2 linked regions of the Lepisosteus oculatus genome follow. The protein of the gene in region 1 interacts with the protein of each later gene in a biochemical or structural test. Links are inferred from orthologs where the notes say so. Each region holds a gene or a part of one and is shown on either strand. Other genes may lie near its edges. The genes, in order: ptprb and cntn1b.

Region 1 (12,673 bases):
TACACTTCACCTGAGACCAGCTACTTACAGTAACTGGGCTTTTAATTGTAACTTTTTATTTTTATTTCCTACAAAGCACACACTTGGAATTATGATAACATTTCATAGGTAACCTAAACAAACATCAGAAGACACTGGGATCCCCAGAGCCAAGACAGACACGTTCTGCTGCTCTACTACAGATACTGTACCTGCAAGCATACTGTATGAGCAGAAAAATTCAAACTTAAGGAGATTAGAAAGGGTATCGGAAGTCCATCAGTCTTTACGACCAAGTTCATTACAAGGGCTCAATAATAAGCTGCAATTGGTCCCACCAATGTTGATAACGGTACATCTCATATCTAACCTTATTCCAAATTTTATTTTTTAGTTCATTGTTTTGCATTGCTCTTCATAGAAGTTTTTTTATAAACTAAATATACAGTAAGCTTCCCAAGCTTCTCTACCTGTCTGTGTGTCTGTGTCTCATGGAGAGCAAGCTGGGGTACTTGAAAAGACAAATTCCTTATGCAAAAAATGTATATGGCTAATAAAGTGATCTCTCTCTCTCTCTCTCTCTCTCTCTCTCTATTATGAGGGAAACATACCTGTAGTAGATGAAGCCAGCCCTCCTACATAATACATATCTGAATTGAAACATTATCATGCAACCAATTACCAGAGCCAGCGCCAGTTTGATTCCTTTGGAAGCATTTTATTTTCTTTTGAATACTCATGCAGTTTCTCACAAATAAAATCCTTTAAATGCATTCATATCTGGCATTTCATATCAGAAATGCATCTAGAAACACAGCCTATAAGAGTACTTTTTGCACTTTTTTACTCAGCCAGATATTCTGATGAAAAAGAAGTCAATATGAATCTCTGAAAGTACTTTTAATACAGTGGTTGAAAACTGCCGATAGTTATTGCTGTCCATAGCAGACACTTGAGTTTATCTGATAGGGGCTGGGTTATTCTTGCACAGATAAAGAACAAAGCAGACTCACATGTTTTTGGAGTTTGTTTTTAGCTGTGTTCTACCACCCTTAACCTGGGTGAAACAGTAGCCTTTTCTCTTCAGGAAGATGCTGATTTTTAGATATTTCTCGTGGATTACATGTGTATTGGTGGTGAGGGTGTTGTAAAGTACTGTTACAAAAGTAGATTTTCTTCTGTACAGTATAACAAATACTGTACTACCATCAAGATTTATATACCGTTAGTGGAGTTTAGGCAAAGTACAAAAATGCCACAGGATATGTCAAAAGAATATGAATAAGAAGGCAGAATATGAATATGAGATGAAAATCCATTTTCCAGTATTATGTTGAGGAAAACTTACAGATTTCTACAACTCTATGTCAATTATGCAGAATACAGTCAGCTGTTGAAAACCCCCCCAAATGTTCCATTGTGTTATCAGCATATGAGTCAAAGTGAAAACCATGATGGTGAATAATATCAGCAAAAGGCATAGTGGTTCAAATACATAGTCCCATATAAGGACTCATAATTAATTTTAGCCCCAGGAATAGTTTCAATTCTGTAAAGGAAACAGAAACAATAGACAAAAAATGCCATTCACCCCACATAATTTCTCCAAAGTGAAAAAATCCTACATATTGAGAGAAAGCTGTAAACACCAAGAGTGCTAGAGCAGATGGTTCTCCATTTTAACCAGCAATTCTTCAATACCGTAATGGGGTCTAACCAATATAGAGGACAGCCAGTTCAAAACAACCTATTACAAATACTACAAATATTCAGTAGCATCTCTCTCATCATGCTGGTGCCAAGAAAGTTAGAGCAAAAAGTACTTGCCACAAAATATACAGGTAATAAAAAGCAAATTCCCTTTGCTTAACAGCACTACTAAATTTCTTGTAAAAAAAAGGTGAGCCTTGTAAATTCAAGACAGAAAAATCCAGAAAAGATCAAATCAAACTATTATAAATCCAGTGTACGCACATCGCTACAGCTACTTAATATTTGGTTGTTAAGGTGAGCTGTTATTTAATCTGACTTTATGACATAAAATATTTATATTGCACTGAAAAGAGCAATCTATTGCAAAATATACAAATACTGTATATCAAGGCCCAGAACTATTATCCAAAGGCAAATTCTTCTCACAAGTTAGCTAGAACTGTGGTTTAACACAGCCTTTACACCTAAGTCAGCTGAATAGTGGGGTATACTTCAGATGGTTTTACAGCATTGTTATACAGCAGGTAATGAAGAGAAATCAAACTGGACAAAATTAATAAACTTCCAGAGAATGTTTTGTCAATAACAGTCCAACAAAACTTTCAAAACCACAACCTTTTCAGGATGAAGCAAGTATGAGGATATGTTTGACAAACACTAAATTGTAGTTGCATGATTTAAAAACAGAATCTCTGTTTTGCATTTTTTAGACATAACAGTCCCAATGAGGTTTTACAATTAAATCCAAACTAATTACTGTATGTTGCAGAGCATGTGTGCAAACAGAATTCTGCAGGATCTAACCAAGGGATTTTTCTGACACCCTCTACTGTTTGCAAACAAACAGTATCTACTGTTTGCATCCTTCACTGATGTTTCATGCACAGTATGCCTCCCTGATTTAAAAGATTCAATCATTTTGTAAAGCTAGGAACAAAACGTCTTTTGAAACCGTACTTTAGAAGCTAAATAAATGAAGGAAATCCAGGAATTTATTTGAATTAAAAACACATACTTGGCATAACCCACAAAACAATAATCCTGATGGATGCTTCAGAACCTGCTGCTCTTTAAAATGAAATAAAAAAGTAGAGCAATGGCATCATATTGTATAGAATGTACAAAATACAACTAGGTGTTTGTTTTAATTTCTCAATAAAGATGTCTGAGCCAGAAGTGTCTCTCCTGGGGAAAAAATTAAGTTAGTATCACCAGCTTGAGTTCCTCTGCACCTCTACACCAGTTCTATACTTCATCTGAAAATGGGTACAACTAGGAAATGGTTACCCTTTTTTCTACCATTACAAGGTATACTGTATGACTAAAAGGTGTATTTGACGATTCAAAGTGAATAAGGCACATCGGGTATCTCAATCTAATTGTTCTGAGAGGAGTTTAGATGTGAAGAAGTCAAAATAAGACGGTCACCTCTCATAGAGGTCTGATTAGTGATTAGAACGGTAGAATGCAGGACTTTGCATTACTTATCACAGACAGGGTGGATGAACTTGTCGGCCATGGTCTCAGTACTGCCAAATTTGCCAGGAAGAGGAGAGATTGCTTACGAAATTCCTGTGCCTGTGTTTGGGTCGGTCAAATCCCTAAGCACAATGTGCAGGGAAATGGGTATCAAAAGTAATATCCTTTACTTTCATTTAGACCAACTTTAAAAAAAAAAAGCCAAGCCACTGAAAGATTTTAGAATATTCACTATCACACGGTACTTGCCGTAATCACAATTCCCTTTCCCCTTGTTACCGAAAATGAAACAAATCATTTTCACAGATGTTCAGGCGCATCCCGCTGATGGAAGGCGGGTAACCACAGTACTTCTCTCATTTTGGCAAGTTTTCAGAACGCGTAGTTTTTCGTGCCTGGTAAGTCACAAGCGCGACATTTACTGTATATTGCACCAACAGCAATCGCCTTCAACGATGTTGCATGTTTAACCTTAAAGATTTAAATGTTCACTTCTTCGCTGCCCACTCTCACCGCCGCTGCCAGTGCATAAGAAATGAAACCTCTCACCTTTCTTTGCACATAGACTTCCCGTGATTACTTTCCTTCCAGATTCGACCTCGTACTTAGTCCAGTTAGAATACCTCTGTTCTCCCCTGAGGACCACTCGCAGGCCCTGTTTCTTGAGGAACAGCGGACGGTCGATGACCCCGAAAGTCCCATTGTCGTCGTAGCACTTCCAGCCAGGTGCGCTGGAACATCTGCCAATGGCGGCTAGGCGTGCGTGACGAGGAAGATCGCTACTCAAGTTGAACCACAAGCACAAGGAGGACTGAAGGTGGAGAAGTTTCAAGTCGTTTGTCCACGTCCACTGTTGATAGGGACTGGTCATGTTGCACTGGACAAGGACTACAGCCTTGTTAAGTGTCGAGAGACATAGCCTTTTTGACGTGTGGGCAATTAGGAACTCTTCTACAAATAAAAAACGTAATTACTAATAGTAATAATAATTCTATTAATAATTCACGACTTATATAAGGTTGCACAATAATAGCAGAAGAATTCGACGCATTTGCACAGCCCCCTTTCATGAAGAACTATAAATTACTAACATTTTACATTAACATTTTAATATAATAAATTATTATGACTGATCTGCGTAACTGCATTAATAAGATAATATTTACGTTAGGTAACAAGTGTACGACTTAAAAGTTACATTGTTTAACTTAATGGGAAGTTTTACTATTACGATGGTAAAAAAAATCAAGGTACTGTATACTATGTATATACTGTACTGTATTAAAGTGTTCAGCAATTTCAGCATACTGCACATCATCCAAAATCATTTCATAAGCATAAACCACTTTAATTCGTATGTTTCACCTTCATCAAGTTCGGTGTTATTTTTGTTTCAGTATACAGTATGTCTTTCCAAAGCAGTTAGTAGGATTATTCGTGTAAAAACAATACACGTTTATACATTATACACATTTATAGCTGTAAAACAGTAACTAATTCCCATCTTGAGGAAAATTATAAAGAAAAAAAACAAACCCAAATATAAGAATAATACAGCACCTGCGTTTCAGAAAACATATAGACTACTAATAACAACCGTTGGATCTATTCTGAAATAATGATGTTATCATGATACCAAGACAATGTTAAGCGTACGTTCTTAGCATAACATACAACACCATTGTAAACAAAGATGCATAAATTTAAAATCGATTTATGTAAATCAGCAGACACCCAGCAGCGTAATTAGACATTTTAATGTTTGTTTTAATAAGAAATAACATAAACATAATCAAGTATGTTGGCCCAATTTCATTGCCATTGTGTAAAGATGAAAACCAGGATAGGTTTCCGTTAGGATTTGGCAAACTCTAATCAACCATCAAAGCACGTTTTCGAAACCAGCTCCAGGTTGAAAACTACAGGATTAGAAAGGACACAGCAAAGCGCATTACTTACCTGTCCTAGTAAAAGTCAGGCAAAATAATATCGCAGTCAAAAACAAGGTATCCATTTTACTTGTACTACAGTTTCACGCTTCCACTAAATTACGATGAGCAAAGTTAAGGCTTGAAGAGGAAATGCGCCTTCAGGGGAAAAAGTCAATGACGAGCACTTCCTTCTATTCAATTGTTTTAGGAGTTTCATAGTATAATATCATTTAGTGGGACTCATCAAAATGGAAGTACTATCTTTTCGGAAATAGAAAAGTACATTGCAGCTGCAATACTGTATCTCTTAACACCAGTTACTACCATATTTGTGGTGTGCAGGGCGTTAAAGTTAGCAATGGCAATTTACTTTAATGACATGTTTACGCCACCATCGTGATAGCAGGCAGGTAATTTAGAATCTGCTGAGTTACTGTGATCCTGTGAGCGTTACGATATACCACTTAAACCGCAGTGATGGTGCAGCAGGCACAGCAATATCCAAACTAAGTGTACTTTTAGTTTATGTCTGTTATGCATAAAACTCCAGAAAAGTTTGTATCCATCGCAGTTTATACCTACATACATTTGTACCCGATTCAATGTAATTTTACACTGTACATACAGTAATAACAATATTAAAGGGCAGTAAGGAAACTGGATAGTGTCTTCATTACAGTTAGCCCTTGAAAACTGAACAAAAATACATTTATATGTGCATTTCTGCAAGACATTGCTTAAGGTAGGGAAGAATTCTAAAAAAGAAGCATAGTGCACTACGGAAACAGAAACATGAGACTTGATCTTTTAAAATAATATAGGTTTATTGGCAGTATAGAATATAAAGTCAACATCAATAGTTAACAATACAGAGCCTGTACAGCCTTAGACTGCTCACTCTATCCCAGGAAACAAATATTCCCACAAGACACTCTAACCTGAGGACTCTGTGACTTCCTTTTTAAAGAATATATGTGTAACACTTATTTGAAAGCTGTGTGGCATGGCTTGTTTCACAGACAATATAACCTTGGTCTCACCTGACCATAAAGCTTCAACAGAGCCCACTCTACACCCTCCATAAGAGGAAGGCTTGTTAAGGTGTTTTACAGTAGCTGAAAAGGAGAAGATGATAAATGTTTTATTAAAGCATGGTATCAGAAAGAACTTTCAAATCAAGTGTAATATACTTCATTAAAGATAAAGACCATGTCTGTTGGGCCTAGAAGTGTACAGCGAAGTCAGAAAGTCAACACAATACAAAATGTGTTTGAAATGGTTTAAACCGGACCAATCCACCCAAAAGCAGTTCGCCCTGGATTTAAAAAATAACATCCCATGGTGTTTAAACTTGTCTTCAATGCAGCGCCTCATATTACACATGCATATGAGTACACAAAAAGCTCTAGACATTCAGAGCAAGTACTGTATCTTAACCTGGGAATCAGCATACATTTTTATAGCAGAGAGGTTGGATCAAAGAAAAGTGTAATAAAAAAAAATCCCAGCTCAGCAGAGGAAAACAAACTTTAAGATTGTAAAAAATATTTATGTACTGTACAATGTTACTGTACAGTATCTAGTGTTGACTGGATATATAATTTTCACAGTATCGATATTGCTACAAACATTAAGCCATGAATTGTACTGTTACTGGAGACTACCATCTTAACTACCATTACACAAATAACTTATAAATACAGGTTTCTACAGAAATGTCTCAATTCTGTATAAAAAACAATAAGCTTCTTTAAACATTCCAACAGAAACACTTAAACATTTTCATAAGGGTAAGAATATTTCAAAAACCTATTATGCATCTTACGGAGACTGATCATAAATTTGGTAGAAACAAATTATACTTTATAATATGGAAATGAGATTAAGGCATTTCTGACCTACAGTACCTGGATCAGATAACCACAAAATAATAAAGCAAATCTACACAGATGTAATTTGAAATGAAATTAAAAAATGTTTCTGTTGGTGAAATATATAACAGTTTATACACTCCCAAAATAAATCATACTTGTATTAAGGAAAATGGCATTGTGAGTGTTTTAAGGACTTCTTATCATTTAATGAAATTAAGCTCACAAATCTTACACATTTTGCTTTGTTCTGCTATTTTCACTTATTGTTTCTCCATTATATACAGGAACACAATTCAATGACAACTTTTAACTGACATTTTAGCTATTTTGTTTAAAATTAATAGTTAATCTTGATACATCAGTATTTTGTAGCTCTGAATGTAGATCCACAAATATGTACAGTATAAGAAACAACCTGACAATGATTCAACTAGATCTGACTGGTGATTGTGACTGAAATTAGTTGAATGGTAAATATACTGTAGTAACCACTATGACATTTCATATTGACAGTTCATGACGGCCCTAATTTGCTTTGAACTGGTGTGATCAAGAATTTAGAGAATCTGATCAATGTGGTCAATGTGAAGTAATGATTGAAAAAATGACAAGTTAGGCTTTTATTTATCCTAGACTAGACTGGATTAACAGTTATAATAGTAGAAAACATTAGTGAAAGCCTTGAACAAATTGTTCACAAAAAAAGTTGTTGATAAGATACAGATTTTGGAACTCCAGACTGTGCTTAAGATGCCTTAAGTCTTTTGCAAAGTAGTGTACATTGTTAAGACTTTTAATATAGGATAATTAAATGAACCATTTTTTTACACCTTATAAAATGAGTTGAACTGTCTTGAGGTGATGTTCAAATAGATTCTGATTACAATGTTTTTTTTTTATGTGCCAGATAGATAAATCAAAACCAGAGCTATTAATGAATAGTATATTATACTGTAACAAACTTCCCAGGAACTGAGACTTCTTGCAAATTGGCTTACAGTTTGATACCCCTATTTTTTAATGGTATCACCAATTTGCCCTGTTTCTCCTTGTGGCTAAAATCTCTAATCCACAGTAAATGAGCTGCAGATGGAAAATTAGTCTAGACTCCTACCAGTCACATCACCATAGAGTAATAGACACTGTAAGAAAGTCCACTACTGAGTTACTGCTGAAGTGTTACAAGACTGGTCTTTGCCTTGTGTTAAAGGCAGTGAATAGAGAATAAACTGGCTCATTTGGTCTCAAGACAAAAGCGTTCTTGGTGTGATTAAGAAACCAAAGGCACGAGGACCTGAATGACAAGACGTGTCCATCAATCACTTAAGTGTTGTGTCTGCGTTTCATAAAGCCACCCTACTGTAATTAGTGTCCATCGTTTCAAATTCATCTTTAACAATGAAAGTGGACCTACAGTACCAGAAGAGCAGCTACTGTCATTCCATGTCAGTGTCTATGACCTAAATTTCTCCTTACGCCACCTTTCGTAATCACTTCTTATTTCACGTTCTTTGTGTTCCGACTCACAAAGTATTTATTTTTTATTAATTGGCAACGCAGATGAAGTACAAGCCAGCCCCAGCAACCTTTAAATAAGGTGTTAATGAATAATGTAGTCATTCAGTTTAGCAGCTCTGTTACTCTCTTACATACAATTTGTGGCATACATATGTTCAGTATATAGTTTTATGTATATAAATGGGTATATATTAGGTAGTTAACATATCACAACATTCATCTTGATTAATATATATATATTGAACAGCTCATCATATGGCTTATATAGCCATCAGACCACATAGTGGATAATTTCTACAAACAGTAAACAATATACACTGACATTTTGGATTTTTACACAATAAGTAATGGGCATTGTGCATTGTACCTGCTACATACTGTAGATCTACTATAAATAGACAAATATATATTTTTAAAACCTTTGTATCACAAACAATAATTAAAAAAATCATTACATACAAAAAAGTTTCTAAATGTTTTCATAGTCAAACAGATATCTTTTTTTTCCCCTAAAATTTTAAACACTTGCAGTTTCAGCAGCAAGATGTTATGTGGTCAAAAGATATGCCAGCCACATAATTTATAATAGCACTTTAACATTTACATTGTTTTCACATGTATATAAAGTAAAGCAGTTGGGTAACATTTACATACTGTACTGAACCCCAAATTCTCAACAACAACAAAAAAAATCCTCTGCATAAAACTGACTTTAGTGAAATAACATGTAAATATCACATTTTTATAAATACGATACAAATTCATATCAGGTAAAGTCTGAAAATCTCAAAATATTAATTATAGCTGTTACCAGTAGTAGAAGTATTTGGGAGCAAAGCACACCAGCATCCATTACTTGCATTTGTTCCCTATTAGTTGTTTAATTCTACATAATCAAAAATCCTCACTTACATTTCTTAACCATCCAGTTTGGCTGATGCATATTTTAATATGTCATTATCTGAAAAAAAGGCGCTTTGAAAAGGATCTGGTGTTGAAAGGGACTGTACTGCAGCACTGAAGGATGGACTAATCTTAGTGAAGCTCTGCTGCTGGGAACAGAACTTGACTGATAATTGATCAGGATAGCAGCAGTACGCTGGCACTGTGGATGGATCAATGAATCAGGCTTCGATTACCTTGTATATGTGTTCCATGGTTCAAAAAGATGTGAAGCATTCTTGTACCAACAATCATCTTTTAATCCAACAATTTGCCCATTCTGATTCATAATTGGAATTCATTAAGTGGAAGTATACTGTAAATCATTGATGATTAAGTGAATGTGAAATAAGCAAAAACCCACCGAATACGAATGAGCTCAAAGGTTATTAGCAATGTTAATGACAGCACTTTATAGCACAGAAAATTTCAGACTGTTTCTTGGAGGCTATGGTTAGGGTTAGACAGCTTTTGCAGTCTGAGATCTATGAACCAGTGTGTAGTCTACAGGAGCAGTGCTACCCCAGGGACAGTTTTGCCTACTGTTTAAAGTGTAAAACAGTTAAAATATACTTTCTGTCTAATAAATATACTGTTTTTCTGTTTTACATATACTGTTTGTCTACTATATTTTCTTAATGTACCATACAGTACATACAGGAATGTATGTGAACAGCTATTAATCTGCATAAAGATCTGTGGACTTTAGTCTTAAAGTTGGATGAAATTATTGCTCTTTCCTCTTGTTACTGTGAGCATATTTGGAAAAAATAGAAAAGTGTGGGGTACAGTACAGATATTAAATGAAGAGGATACAATACGCTGTACAATAACTGATTAATGCAAATGTAACAGTAGTTTTCTGTTTGATGATCAACAAGTGATTATGTATTTTCCAAATTCTGATGTTTACAAACTTAAATATACCTAAAAAAAATAATATTATGCATTGATATGCTAGCACTTGCTTTAACGAATGAACTGATTTTAACAGAACAAATACTTTAAACAGAAACCTCCTTTAATTGTAGCCCCAATAAATTTACTGTTTGATCTTTGACATGGTCAGGATGTTGTAAAGATACGGTGAACAGCCCTTTAAAATTTGTAGTGATTTAACCCTGACAAACGGCTATATTAAACAGGCCATTATTAGGAAAAGTGTGTAAAACTGATTTGTAAATGTACCAATGTTGTGAGTGGCTTAACTACAAGACAAGGCTATCAAAGCCACCACCTTAAGCATAATAGGATTCAGTAATAAATATAAGCATTAAATGGCAAAGGAGCTTCTTTGGGAAACATTTCAAGCATCCTTCACATACCAAAAAGCCACAAGTAATACATGCCATATGTTCTAAAATATGTAGGCAGGATAGCTTGTTGTTGTCCATGTAGTTCATATTTTGGTAAAAGTTATTTTTGTAGCTTTCTGTGTAATTGGCAGAAAAACAGGACAGCAAAATGAAAAAAAAAGTGTATTGAGTTGAAACAGAAATCCATGTTACCTGGACCTTCATATTTTTTATCTGTCCATTTCTGGTTAACACCACTCTCCCCTACCTCTGTATTAACAATAATCATAGAACAAATTAACCAGAAAACCTATGAGTAATTCATAACCTGACTTGGTTTAAGCCTCCTGCTGCAGATGTGTCTGCTGGGACGGTTTGGCTCACAAATACTTCAACCACGTCGAGTAGAGTATAACAGTCTTTTGAATTGTAACTTCTGTCAGTGTGATCTCCCATTTTGCAAGCATTTAACTGATTCCCATTTTCTTTCAACTTACTATTTTATCAAAATCAAATAAGTAAAACTGGCTGTAGATACCAAATCCATTAGCATCAAGAACAGCCATTAGTTACTTATGCAGAAGCTGGATACTACTGGCAGAAGTCAAGAGTTGTTGGGTACTACTGGTACAACCATACTGTAAGAATACACTTAAACCTGCAGCACTGCAATGGCAATGAGATGGAATGCATAAATTCTTATAAGAAAAGCTTTTTTGAGGCAGATAAAAGAAAAGAGAATATACTACATTCATTAACGGACACTCATCTTTCCAGGTTACCTGCCATCCTAACTTGTGCCACACAAGTTCATCTTAGAGAAACGCAACTGGATCGCACTCCTTGCGTGAGATGCTGCCAGTAGGTAATACAATTACCTTTCAACTCTTCCTCCAAATAAACGAAGACTTGGCAAAACAGCACAACAAATTATCACTGGCCAGCGTCGGTGGAGAGCCTGCTTTCGTAGAGACTCAAGGCATGGTGCACAAACTCGTACTGTTCACCTGTCTGGATCATGCCTCCTCTACACATGGAGAAGAAACAAAATGACAAAAAAGTCTCAGCATAATCAAAGCTAGGGGGAAGTACACATTATGCTCAAATGTTCTCTAGACATGTTTTACCACATTTATCCACAGTATTTCTTTGTCTTCTGCATCTTCTGCAAACTACATCTACTACTGTTTGCAGCTACATTCGCACATAGAGTTACACTTACTGTACAGTACACTGGCTATAGCAATGCTTTTCTTAAGCATGGATGAAAAAATAAACCAGAAAAGGAAATGCTTTACAACAGCCCACCACATACAGGTACATATCACATACTGTATTTCAACCACAGACCACAAGTATACATTCCATCATATACACATATACTTTATGTAGTAATCAAAGATAAAGATGTCGAGGAACTTGAAAGCATGATTAGTAGACGTGGGAACGGAACAGAATAATTGCAGCAGACTGGTGCAAATGGATTTATATAGGGGTAAAGCAAATATGAAGTATTGGCTTGTTATTATGAATTGTTACTTACTGACAATTACCCTAAAATACACTGCAGCATGACACTGTATTATAAAAGACAAACCACTTGTCCATGGCTACTTGCTTTGGCATTACATGTGCAAAAAGACCTGTTTTCTATAGAGCTGTGTTACAAAAAGTTAAGAGTGAATTAATGGTCTGTTCTTTCTTAGCCATGATTTTGCTCTTAACAGTCATGACCCGGGACAGTTTGTAAAGACTAATTATACTTATAATGTGGCCTGCAGAGATCTCATCCTGCTTAGTTTTACTTCTTTCCTGTTCTTCTCTGCTAACGGTAGCCCCTCCCAGGGACTGAGCACTAAATCATATTCAGACTGTGGAACACAATCTCTGACATCCTGTCTGCACAGACCAAAGGGGTCCTAACAGTGTTCCCAGCCCTCCA
Region 2 (12,754 bases), about 7.8 Mb from region 1:
CTGTTGTTATTGAATTGTTATTGTTATTGAATTTGTATAGTTGGTTGTTTTGAGTCAGCACAGTAAACAACGTGGATTTTGCAAGTGCAAATTCAAAAATCTTCCTAAGGTTTATACAGTATATAAGTAGAATGACTTTGTGAACCCCCCCTCACCCCCTCCAAATCACAGAGACTGGCAAATTCAATCATATAAAAAATAAATCAGCAGAGTTAAGAATTAACTCTTAACAAAATAATTATACTTCTGAATCCATATCTGCAGCATTCTGATATCATTCACTTCATAATAAGGGCATCAAAATGGCAGCCATTCTTGACAATAATCTCTCTAGATGGATTAGTTGGTTCAGTGAAATCACTGACTGCTGCTTTCTACTAATGTATGAAACAAAGTATATTTCAAACGTGCATTTACATTAAACTCCTATCTGAACACAGAACTAACTGTATTGAGCTACCATGAGAGAATTATCACTTTCTTTACAACAGTTGAATGCATGTAGCTGTCTTTGTACATTTAACCATCAGTAATTCCACTGAGTATTCTTTCTTACACAGTACAATCTGCATTGACTTCTTGTGCTGCTTTTACATTACCTTTTTGCGCCGAATTAACATACCAGTGCATTAAAAGCAATTAAGAAACGAATAATAAAAAGACCCATATTTCTGCCGTTCTGAAACTCCCTTTATTCCATACTATAAACTCATATTTTAAATCTAAATCCAATGTTACACATTTAAAATAACAAACATTATACAAACATAAATTTAAAATCCTATAGAATTTTTTTTTCTTTATAATCTTAATGATTACTGTTAATATGAGTGCTGAAATATTTATATACCATAATGTTCTCTTACGTATTAAAACTGAAGTCATCTTATTAATAAATTAATTTGAAATTCTATCTCCTCTGTAATAACAAAAATTGATTCTCATCTGTATATAAGATTTGCAGATTTTACCTTTCATTATATTCACAGCATTGACACAGCAAGAAGCAACATGCGTGTCATTAACAACTGCCACCAGTATCAAAAAAAGTGAAATATGTGGACACTGCGGTGAAAATGAATAGGGCTGAAGGGAAGTAGGAGAAGCACCTGGCAAAATAAGTAAAACTGACATTTTGGCCAGATTGAGAACTCACGTAGCCAACATACACAACAATATCTCAAATAAGAGACTGAAATCCTTATGAACCAAAACATAACCCTCTTTTGTCAAAGCAAGACTTTCTGAGATGATGCTCATTATTTTAGTAGTTTTTTTTTCAAGCAGATGGTGCACAAAATCTTCTGCCATGCATGCCCTAAAAGCATTAGAAATATGCAATACAGTCCATCACTTTCTACTACAAAACTAATTAAATAAAGACAGAAAACAATGGCAAATGCATTCTATATTATATTATTAGTCCTAATCCCAAAACAAACAGCAGACAGAATAATATAAAGTGACATCTATAGTTCACAATGAATCTTTCCAAGTGTTAATAATACAATAAGACTACAAGAATACAATTTCCTCCCTAATGACTGAGAAGGGCACAACAACATAATCTGTACCTTCTAAAAGTGGAAATACACATTATAGGCTGTATACAATAATTAGTTTTGTAAGTTAGTCTAACAGTAGTGAACTGAAATACCGTACAGTATGTAGTTTCACAAATGGCTGTCTTGAATTGCAGACGTTTGCGGAGTCAGCACTGTTGAATGAATCTCCATTCATTTCCCAACCTTAATGAAACGCACAAAAGCATGAGTGATGAAAAAACTGTCATATTTGATGATTTAGATATTTCAGTGGCCATTTACCCTAAAAACAACACCTGAGCAACAAGAGGCACCTATCAGTAAATGGTCCAACTTTTACCACTTCAAAATAAAGTGGTTCAACACTACTAATACAGTATGTTTAATTGAACAAAGAGGGTAGAACTGAATTAATGTTATTAAAAATCAAATATTTAAGAATGTTATGTATCTGTCATTTTTTTTTATGAGTACTGATTATTTGAGTTCACAGTGAAAAAAACAGTAGTAACTGCAATGTATCTTTTTAAACTTAATTTAAAGTTTACTTCTGATAACATTAGATCTAGTGAGCAAAATAATTATATATTGTATTTATAATAATTTCCTGGTTTTACTGTAAAAACAATTCTGGATTTAAGTTGCCATTCATTGTTTATAGCAGGCTGTATTTTATTCTTAGAATACATCTTATCAGTCTTGATGGATGCAAGATCTCCGATTTAATATAGAACTAAACCATAGAAAACCCCTACTGGAATAAAAAGCAAATAATACACTCCCTCATGTTATATACTGTACATTAAATTTATTTTGTTATATGCTGTCATTAATAAAGTATTTTTAATAAATTACATAAAACATTTTGATAAATTTGAATAAAAATATTTTTTACAAACTCGTTATAAACATTTTTTGCATTTACAGTAAACTGTATTTTGAGAGCTTTCTGTTGCTTTTTTCACTTAAAATTGTATTTGTCACATTAATAATTCTGGCACAACTACAAAAAATACATGTTGAAGCTGATTGCCAGGCAGTGGGCAGAGGAACTGAATCATCCTAGCCCACGCTGAAACGTGTATTATAGATCCTCTGCCATACCTCTCCATCAAATTCCACTCAAACAGCTCTCAGACATTTCAACTAGAATAGTTCTTAAGAGGTCTGCACAAATAATTTCAGATGGAAGAATTTCACATACATAGTACACAAATGATTTCATGACAAGATCCTATGATGCACGCATACATAACGTATATTAATTAAGCTATCGGTCATCTTGTAGAGACACATAACACACAACAAAGTTTTAATTATCTTTTCAGTGCATTTTTGGGGCATCTGCTTGTTGTTGTTAGGACTTCTTATACAATGAATTATGTGACTTTTGTAGTTTTCTTACGGACATTCTCTTGGGTTTTCTTCTAACATACTGATCATACAGTAAACACCAAGGTTTTTCCAGTGCCTCTGTAATGCTGAACATTAGGAAGTATATAGTAAGATGGTGATCAGTACACACAGTTTGAAACATCACTGTTAAAGCCTTGACCAAGGAGACTTATGTAATACTGAACTAATTCCCCATCCTCTCCTCATAGACAGAAGGGGACTGGGTTCAGGAACTTTTTATGTAATGACTAGGTATGAATGGGAAGTAATAGAAAATTATAAATTCATAAACATAAGGAATTAAATACCATAAAATTACAAATGGCAAAAATGCCCCCGAAGCCACATTTGGAAAATTTGTATTTGTATAATTTGTACTTCAAAAAGCTGCATAATGTCATATTTTAAAACAGTTTCTTTGATGGTAAAGCTGAAACTATAGACACACTTAGCCAGTATACCATTTTAAAAAATTCAAGTAACTGAAGCCTACATTTCCCAAAATGATTTGTCCTTTTAAAAGTCATCCTTGTTACACCCAGAATTCGAAACCACTTAGAGAAACTACTTCTAAAACACAAAGGATAACATTATAGATTTTCTCATTATTTATGTAAAGTCTCTTAATAAAGATTGATGTCCCATTTTCCAGTACAGAAACCCATGCAAGAAAGATAATTGGCATTAACAGTTTATCTTAAGGTCCAAGTCTATAGGGTACTATGGACAATGAACTGTGTATAATGAACTATTACACAGACACTTGGCTTTAAGCTAATGTATTACCAAGCTTTTACAATAGGCCTCATACTTCAAAATAATGACACTAGAAATTTTCTCAAAAATATCACAGAGAAAATATTGTAAGTATAATTCAGTTCTTCAGATTAGTAAATAAAGGTCCTGCTAACAGTCTTAGCCATCCTTTAGGCAAGTAATAAAACTAAAAACATCTCATTCTCAGCTCAACTTTGCATTGCACCAAAATTATTTAACAAAAAGGTTCTTCATGATAAAAATGTTCTTTTCCACTCAAATGTCACATTTTCTTCTATATTCATAATTCACTAGATTATCGAATAATCACAAATATAGCACTAGATGATTCCCTCCCACAGAAGCTCTTAAATCAGTTACAGGATGGGACACAAGAAAATGTGAGCCTTCCTCCTTCCACTAAGGTATCTAATTTTCAGAATCTTAATGGTGAAGTTTCTAATTTTTGTATTAAAGTTTATTTCACAGTGAATAATCCTTGTTAATCCATGTTGTTTCTTCAAAAATTGCAATTTACCATCTTAGAAAGTTTTTTTTAAAAAGATTAAACCTGAATCTGATGAACAATCGGATAACACATGATCTTATATCATTGTTGCACTCACAATTTGGCTGTTTCATGTCCATCCTTAAACCTTAGCACTGTTTTTCCTAAACTGAGTGCTTGCTGTTATTCATCTTATAAAGGAAAGTGCAAGCTTGTTAACCCACTGCAGTTTGATTTCGCACTAAAATATTCCTGTCCAGCAGGATGGTTTGTAGTTATGTTGATTCCTCACAGAGATCAGTGCACGTGAGCTGTCTTATCCATAGATTCACCAAGAGTGCAAATTGAATAATCTATTATTTTTTAAAAGAAAAGTACTCTCTGACATAGACAAAATAACAAACCATACAACTGGTTTTCTAAAGCACATTTGGTAGTTTTGCAAGACCATAAACATTCCTACAAGATGACAGAAGAAAGGACAAGAAAACCCTTTCAGTATACTATGTCTAATTCCACACAAAACAATAAGGGTGAAAGGGAGAGGAGCATATGGTTGGGTAAGGAGTTGGTGGAGATCAAACGCCTTCTGATGGTGGATACTGTCCTGGGGATACTACTGTATTTGGAGTAGACCATCAAATCTAACATGCACATTCTCAAGAGGAAGAACCAGTGGAAATCCAAGTGAACAAAAGAAGAACATGTAAACTCTGCACAGACAGGCACCGGAGACTCAAACAGGTCTCACAGCACTTACCAGCAGTGCTAGATTCCACAACACTGCTCCATCTAGAGAAGCATTACAAAGGTCTTAATTCAGATGTGGTCTCTCTTTCACAACAGCACACCCTAATAAGATGGAAAACATGGGTTTATTGTACAACCCAAATTTTCACCAACATCTATTTCATTTGTAAAGCTAGGAAATATAATTTATGAAACCAAGATTTGTAGGAAACCCTGGCCTAAACTAATGATGATTGGACAGAATGCCCACACTAAACCATACTGAAGCCTCAGTTCACAAACTGAAGCTACAGTACATAAATGGAAAGCTTAGATTGACTTAATAAATGTTATGAGGTGCAGCTCTGTTCAAAAATAAATAAAATATGCTTGATACTGTATATAGGCCATATAATTTTTACGTAACAATACTTTTAGTTATTGAAAAGACCAGAACATTACATAAAATATTTTTGCTTAACAATACTGGCATCCATACTCTTCATCATAGTATTTTATTTAGGATTATTATGTGGTCAGCAGATGCAAATACTCTCCTATATTGTTTTGAAATATAGCAGGGGACAGTAATGTCAAGGAGAGTTTGCTTAGCATCCTAGTTAAAGCGCAGTGTGACAGTGCAAATGATGTTATCTGAGGACTCAAGAAATATGAAACACGAGATGAATTCGTACATTTAAAAGTGTGCAGATCGCAATTATTTTAACAGCAACGGGTATAATTTTCTTCATTATACCAGGGCTGTAATCTAAATGCAGATGAATCCGTTGATATCTCACGGCTGAGAGGCTAGGAGAACCAAAAGCCTCCACCGCTTACTAGACAGCCACGCCCATTGACATTCTACAGCCTTTACTACTTAACAGTAAGTCTGTCCTCTGCATCCTTTAGCACCAGAAACGGAGAAGACCGCAATTTAAAGCGTTTACAGTCCACTCGCATGCATCCTCGTATTCGACCTTTTTGTCTGAAACTGGCATTCACCGTGACACTTAAAAAATCACAGTTATCTCATTTAAAATCACATGACCATGAGATATTTACGGTTTATTCTAACATGCGAAAAAAATTATTCATTGCATTTCGTTAGCTTTTTGCAGGGGAAATAGGTTCTAGACTCACACAGCCTGTTTGTTTTCGCCGTTTTCCCCTTCTACACGATTACAATGAATCTTGGATAGGTGTAATTGTGGAAACTGCTTCTTTTTTCAAATACAAGTAGAGAAGCCTATCCAGCTGAAATGCAGATTTTTACAGCGGTAAAAGCAAAAAAGCAAAACTAGTGTTAGTGCATGCAAGGTGTATCTACTGTATGTAAAAAATCTCAACATATGCGCGCATATGTGTCTTGAGAGAAATGTTACGTCAGTACAATTTTACTTTAAACATATGAAACATTTTATTTTTTTCCAGTGCAAACGAGTCTATGAATGCCAAGTGAAAGGAGGTACGGACAGCTGTTGTAATGCACGGTCTGCATTGCGGTAACCCAACTGACAGGTTTATGCATTACATATTAATAAGGAGACTGGCTGCCGCCGTGACAATAACAACTTGAGTTCAATTTTATTTTCATGTTTCCGTTTTCTTACCTGATCTTGTGGACCGTCTGTCCGTGAAATCTCTGCAAAACACACCTGGGTCAGCACCGCACCGCTAGACAAACAAGCCCGACAGACAGATTCTTCTATTGGATACTAGATGATGACAGACGCCGTGGTGGTGGTGGTGGAGCGGCGCTCATGTGGCTGCTATTGGACGAATGCGACGCCACTGAAACCTATTAGTATGAACACATCTGAGCAGAGATGCCAGTGATAGCTGCAGTAGGTCCGCAGTCAAACGTTTGAAGAGCTGAGTCAAAAATCGTGGCAGTCTTTTGCAGCTCTGTGTTGAAAGCATGAACGAAGACTGTAGAGACAGTTCAAAACAATTAAAAACAATTAACAGTGTCCCTGACATAATATACCTGAATTATTATTATTATTATTATTATTATTATTATTATTATTATTATTATTATTAGTGGTGGTGGTGGTGAAGTAGATTGTTGTTACATGGCCTTGCTGACAGACATGCAGACATATACTTACTGTTTCTTTATAAATGTCAGAATCTCAAAGAACACCTTGAATGCAGCCTGATTAAGTGAGCAAGCCTGAAGATTATTTTCACAGTCTGACACTAAGAATGGAACTAACATTTGTTTAATTTCAAGCGTCTCTCACTGTATATACGTCTATAATATATAACATAGATTTAACGCTAACATCTGGGGAATGTTAAGTCAGTGCGACCATCAGTACAGCCATCGAATATGATCTTGCTTGATCTGATTTCTTTTGAATAGCTTTCTCTTTCGCAATGACTGCAGGTGCCAGTTGAATTGATGGAAAAAACGTGGCCCCTTCAAGGCAAAACTGGTCTCTAATTGTAGTTAGTAAGTGGTTTGCCTACTTCATTATAAGACTTCATTATAAAAATTCTGTACAGTATATGATGAATTCAGCTATTGTGATATCAATTTTCTTTTCTATATAATTATTTCTGTATAGTTGGCATGATGTTCTGAATCATTAGTAGTTTTTATTATATATAATCACAATATCATCTCCAATAGACCCAAGTACATCCTGAAATCTGCTGATCTCTTTGTGCTGAGCATTTGGAGGACTGGTTTAAATAATATTAATTGATGAAATTCTGTCAGTGTTACACTTTTGACCAGGAATGTCAATAATCATTTTTTGAGATCCATTTCCGGGGACTGCCTTGCGTTAATTTGCCCTCTTTTGGAACTAGAATACCTGATGCAACCATGGCTTTACCAGTTTTTTTCCATGAAACAATCTGGGATCTTCAGTTTTAACACTTACTTGATCACCTCACTGCTGCTAATAATTCATATTGAGGTTTTTCTTTGTAGACGGTATTTATCTGCAGACCTTGAGACCTGAGAACCTGCAGATCTGTTAATTTACTGAATATAGAGAAAATGGCAACTACTGTATGAATACTGTCTAGTGAAAGTTCAATAGCCAACCTGGAGCAACACTGGAGCAACAGTTCAATAGCTAACCTGGAGCAACACTGATGAAACCAGAAATTCTTTCATGAAAATCAGGATGTTGTTTGCAATGAGTTGTTTTTGCTATGAGGCATCACAGTTTTAGTTCTTCAGTTGTCTTTTAAATATTGCCTGAACTTTATTCGGAAAAATTTAAGTAAGACTGATAGCACACACCATAGAATGTGCAAATGAAATTCAAGGTAGAGCTCTGGAATGAACAAACACCTGGCAGATACAAATAAAATGATGAACTGAGCTTCAAGATGCTTTCTATGAAAAAGACATAGGTGTGTGTGTTACGTTCCACATCCCTCCTCTAGAGGGCACTCCTACCCCTTTCTGTTATGATTAGTTTCTATTATTTCCTGGTGTGTCTCTTCTGGTTTTTGGTTAAAAGGCTAGCATCTCTGCAGTTCCTGTCTCAATATTGGAAGATGGATGCCACAAGGCTTGCCTGTTTTCCAGGTTGTCCGAAGGCAGGCCTTTTCCCGGCGTCCTGACCGCCTGGTCCCTGGTCCCGTTATGTTTTTAGTTCCTGTTCCTGTGCCGGTTCCGACCTGGTTCCCATTTTTGACTGTTTGTCTTGGATGGATCTCCCGGTGCTTGGATTATGGACTGCGCCCCGACTTTCCTTTTTGGACTTCCTTGGACTTGGTTGCTTCCGCATTTCACCCGTGCACCTGCTCACTACCGTCACCGCCCCCTGTCTTGTCAACCCATCCGAACCCCGTTGCACCGTCCTCCGTTGTCATTTACAGATTCTACCATCCACATAGGGTCTTTATTAACACACTCCACAGGAGTCAGAACCAGCTCCCTTGACAGTGTGTAAGTAATAATAATAATAATTGCTTACACTTATATTGCGCTTTTCTGGACACTCCACTCAAAGCACTTTACAGGTAATGGGGTCTCCCCTCCACCACCACCAATGTGCAGCATCCACCTGGATGATGCGACGGCAGCCATAGTGCGCCAGAACGCTCACCACACATCAGCTATCAGTGGGGAAGAGAGCAGAGTAATGAAGCCAATTCATAGAGGGGGATTATTAGGAGACCATGATTGGTAAGGGCCAATGGGAAATTTGGCCAGGACGCCGGGGTTACACCCCTACTCTTTTCGAGAAACGCCCTGGGATTTTTAATGACCACAGAGAGTCAGGAACTCGGTTTTATGTCTCATCCAAAGGACGGTGCCTGTTTACAGTATAATGTCCCCATCATTATACTGGGGCATTGGGACCTACATGGACCGCAAGTTGAGCGCCCCCCTGCTGGCCCCACTAACACCTCTTCCAGCAGAAACCTTTGTTTTTCCCAGGAGGTCATGATATGGCTGATATGGCTGCTGGTGACATTCACATCCACCAGAGAATGTCAGGAAAGCAGTAAGAGGCAAATAGTCTCAGGATATATAGTTAGATCCACAGAATTTAAATTAAAGGATATTATTTAGATTGTCCAATGTACATAAAACCCCCATTTATAATAGTGTACCATTTTTAATACGATTGTGGCTGTTGAATTGGTCCAGAGAAGTGACCAAGTATTTTCTTGGGTTAAAAGGAATGATCTGCAAGGATTGGTTAAAAAACAAATCTTCAGGTTCAATATAGTATTGCCATAATAGCCAGTTGCATGAAATTTAGTTTAATTAAAATATCCATACAAATCTATACAAATATTCAACATAGAGCCAATAAAACCATCCCTGAACACATCTGTGCATACCAACATAATGCACACCAGTAATTATATATATATGCAAATAATACAAAGTGAGCCCAGATAAAATAACAACGAGCTACACAAAAATTTCAAAATCAAAGTACTTAGCTCACACATCTCACAACTACTTATCAGAGGAGAGGAAAGTATATGGAAGATGGGCAGTGATGCGATCCCCGCTTCCCGGCAACGGAGTTCAATTAGCAGAAGAAGGCATAGACCATGCTGAATTAGGCCATCTATCAGATCACTTATTCACCACCACACCTCAATCTCATTATATACTTAAGCACAGTCTTCCCTAACCTCCTGGCTCAGTATTGGTTTTCCATATGAGCTTCATTACTGCTTTACGCTTTTTCTCGTTTACACCTTTTTGGCTTGGAACTGCTTTTCTATGTTGGACCTATGGCTTTTGGATTACAGCTTGGCTTTGGAAAGTACACACCTTGGTTTTAGATTTCTGGCTTTCTCCTCTCAACTAGGTTGAGGTCTCCTCTCGGGTTACGGCTTTGACTCGGCAATCACGCTCTCTCGAATTTAGGATTACTGGCTTCCCCTTTTGACTGAGTTTTTTTGAATTGCGGAAAAGATCTTTTGCAGGATTATTTCCCAGACCCCACATTAGGGTTTATATCTTAGTTTTGGTTTTATTAGCCGGACTTGTAACAGAATACTGAGCCTAATAACATGGACCCAGTGGAGCAAGAGGAAATTCATTTTAGATCAACACTGGCAAGCTTTAATCCAGTTACAGATTTCTGTCCAGCAGATCTCAGCACACCTGTCCGCTATGCAGCCCACTAGAAATACTGGAGCAGACATATCTGCACCGCCCATGCCACTGGCCACACCTGCGACTCAACCTCTACCACTCACCCCACCTGACAGGTTTGACGGTAACCCCACCAAGTGTCGGGGTTTTTAGCACACTGCTCTCTGTTTTTAGACTCCATCAGAAACCTTTCCAACATCTCAGGAAAATATAGCTTTTATAATTTCTTTGCTCACTGACTGCGCTCTGGAATGGGCTACTGCATTGCTAGATCGCTGGGCTTCTGAGGTACAGGATTACGACCTCTTTCAAGAGAAATTATAGGGTTTTTTTTTTTGTTCATCTGCTGGACAAGACTCCACCTCCAACCTCTTATCTATCCGCCAAGGCCGCAGGTCGGTGCAGGAATATGCTATTGATTTTTGGGTAGCAGCGGCTGTGACTCACTGGGATGATGAAGTCCTTATTTTTCTCTTTCGGCAAGGATGAGGTGAGGAAATAAAAGATCACTTGGTAACAATGCCACTGTCAGGCAGAACCTTAGAAGTCATTATTTCCCAGGTGATTGAATTAAAGGTCAGAATCCGTCAAAGAGGTCATGAAAGATCCTGGACACGAATGCTTGAGGTTTCTCGGCAACCACCTACTAGAACCCTAGACTCAGAACAACCAATGGAAATACTGTAGCTCACACCAAGTTAACCCTGGAAGAAAAAGAGAGATGCTGTCTAGAGGTTTATTGTATGTACTGTGGGAAATTAGGGTATTTCGGAGTCGCCTGCCCTGCATTATACTCATCACTGAGGTGCCCCCCAGCCACCCAAGATCCTAAAGTAAGTGAGATTACTAATTCTTCTCAATTTGCTTCAGGATTTTTATTCCATCTATGCTATCCTGGGATAATAAACATATGCCTCTTCTTGCATTTATTGACTCAGGGGCAGCAGGGAACTTCATAGATGCCTCTATTGCTCATACTTTGAACTTACCCCTGACCCAGGTAATTCCCCCTCTTTGTGTGCAATCTTTGGATGGTTCCCCAGTCTCTCCAGGACTTATAAAATGGTAAACTAAACTAATAAGGTTGCAAAATGGCACCACCCATGTTGGAGACATTTGGTTTTACCTCCTGGAGACCCCATTACTTCCCTTAGTATTAGGCTCTCCATGGCTCCAACAGCATGACCCCCACATTTCCTGGTTTCGTAAGGAAATTCTAACTTGGGGACCCTAATGTTATACTTTACCGGTGAGAATTGTGCTCACGGAAATGCCTCTATCCGAAGTTCCAACAATACCCCCCCAATATTTTAACCTAAGGGAAGCCTTTGTTGAGCAAGAGGCCTTGGCTCTCCCACCCCACTGACTGTATGATTGTGCGACTGACCTTTTTCTGGGGACAATCGCTCCTAGAGGTCGTATATTTCCACTCTCCTATACTGAATCAGAGGCTCTGAAAAAATATATCCAAGATTATTTGAAGGCTGGAATTATATGTCCATCCACTTCGCTTGTATGTGCCAGTTTTTTTTGTGTGGAAAAAACAATGGTGGGCTACATCCCTGTATTGATTATTGGGGTCTCAATGAGATCACAATTAAGAACCAGTACTCTTTGTCTGTAATACAGGCAGCGCTTGAGTCCGTTCACAGAGCCAACATTTTCACCAAATTGGATCTACAGGGTCCCATAAAATTTAATCTGTATTCATGAAGGGGATGAGTGGAAAACCACATTCATGGTGACCCATGGACCCATGGACATTATGAGTACTTGGTCATGCCTTTGGTTAAGTAAATTCCCCAGCTGTTTTTCAAACCTTTATTAATGATACTTTTTGAGTTTTAATACAAAAATTTGTCTTGGTATACTTGGATGATATTTACATTTTTCCAATAATTTCCATAGCTCAGCAAAAGAACGCGGCGGACCAGCAACATCGAACTATACCCAGACTTCAATGTGTCTAGTTGTCTACCCGCAACCTTCCACTAAGGCAACCATCTTGCAAGCTTGCCCCTAGGTACATCAGCCCTTTTTGCATCCTCACACAGATCACTCTAGTAACTTATCGACTGGCCTTGACTCCTACCCTTAGGATTCACTTTACATTCCATATTTCCCTCCTTAAGCCCTTTCACAGATCCACTTTGTCGAAACCCCAACCCAAGCCCCCACCGCCTCGGGTAACTGACGGACATCCCGCCTTTACTGTGAATAAGATCC

Evidence for each region.
Region 2: the proteins of ptprb (region 1) and cntn1b form a complex in vitro, tested with the Homo sapiens proteins (2 studies listed by BioGRID). The link is inferred for Lepisosteus oculatus from reciprocal best matches to the Homo sapiens genes PTPRB and CNTN1.

Annotation. Positions count from the first base shown.
Region 1 is NC_090702.1:23,004,019-23,016,691, reverse strand, and holds the start of ptprb (receptor-type tyrosine-protein phosphatase beta), read right to left. Parts: upstream 5,228-12,673; 5' UTR 5,186-5,227; coding exon 5,131-5,185; intron 4,123-5,130; coding exon 3,721-4,122; intron 1-3,720. Other genes in the region: ptprr (receptor-type tyrosine-protein phosphatase R), read right to left, coding at 11,665-11,758. UniProt on the Homo sapiens protein: Plays an important role in blood vessel remodeling and angiogenesis. Not necessary for the initial formation of blood vessels, but is essential for their maintenance and remodeling. Can induce dephosphorylation of TEK/TIE2, CDH5/VE-cadherin and KDR/VEGFR-2.
Region 2 is NC_090702.1:30,811,211-30,823,964, forward strand, and holds the start of cntn1b (contactin 1b), read right to left. Parts: upstream 6,719-12,754; 5' UTR 6,546-6,718; intron 5,056-6,545; 5' UTR 4,964-5,055; intron 1-4,963. UniProt on the Homo sapiens protein: Contactins mediate cell surface interactions during nervous system development.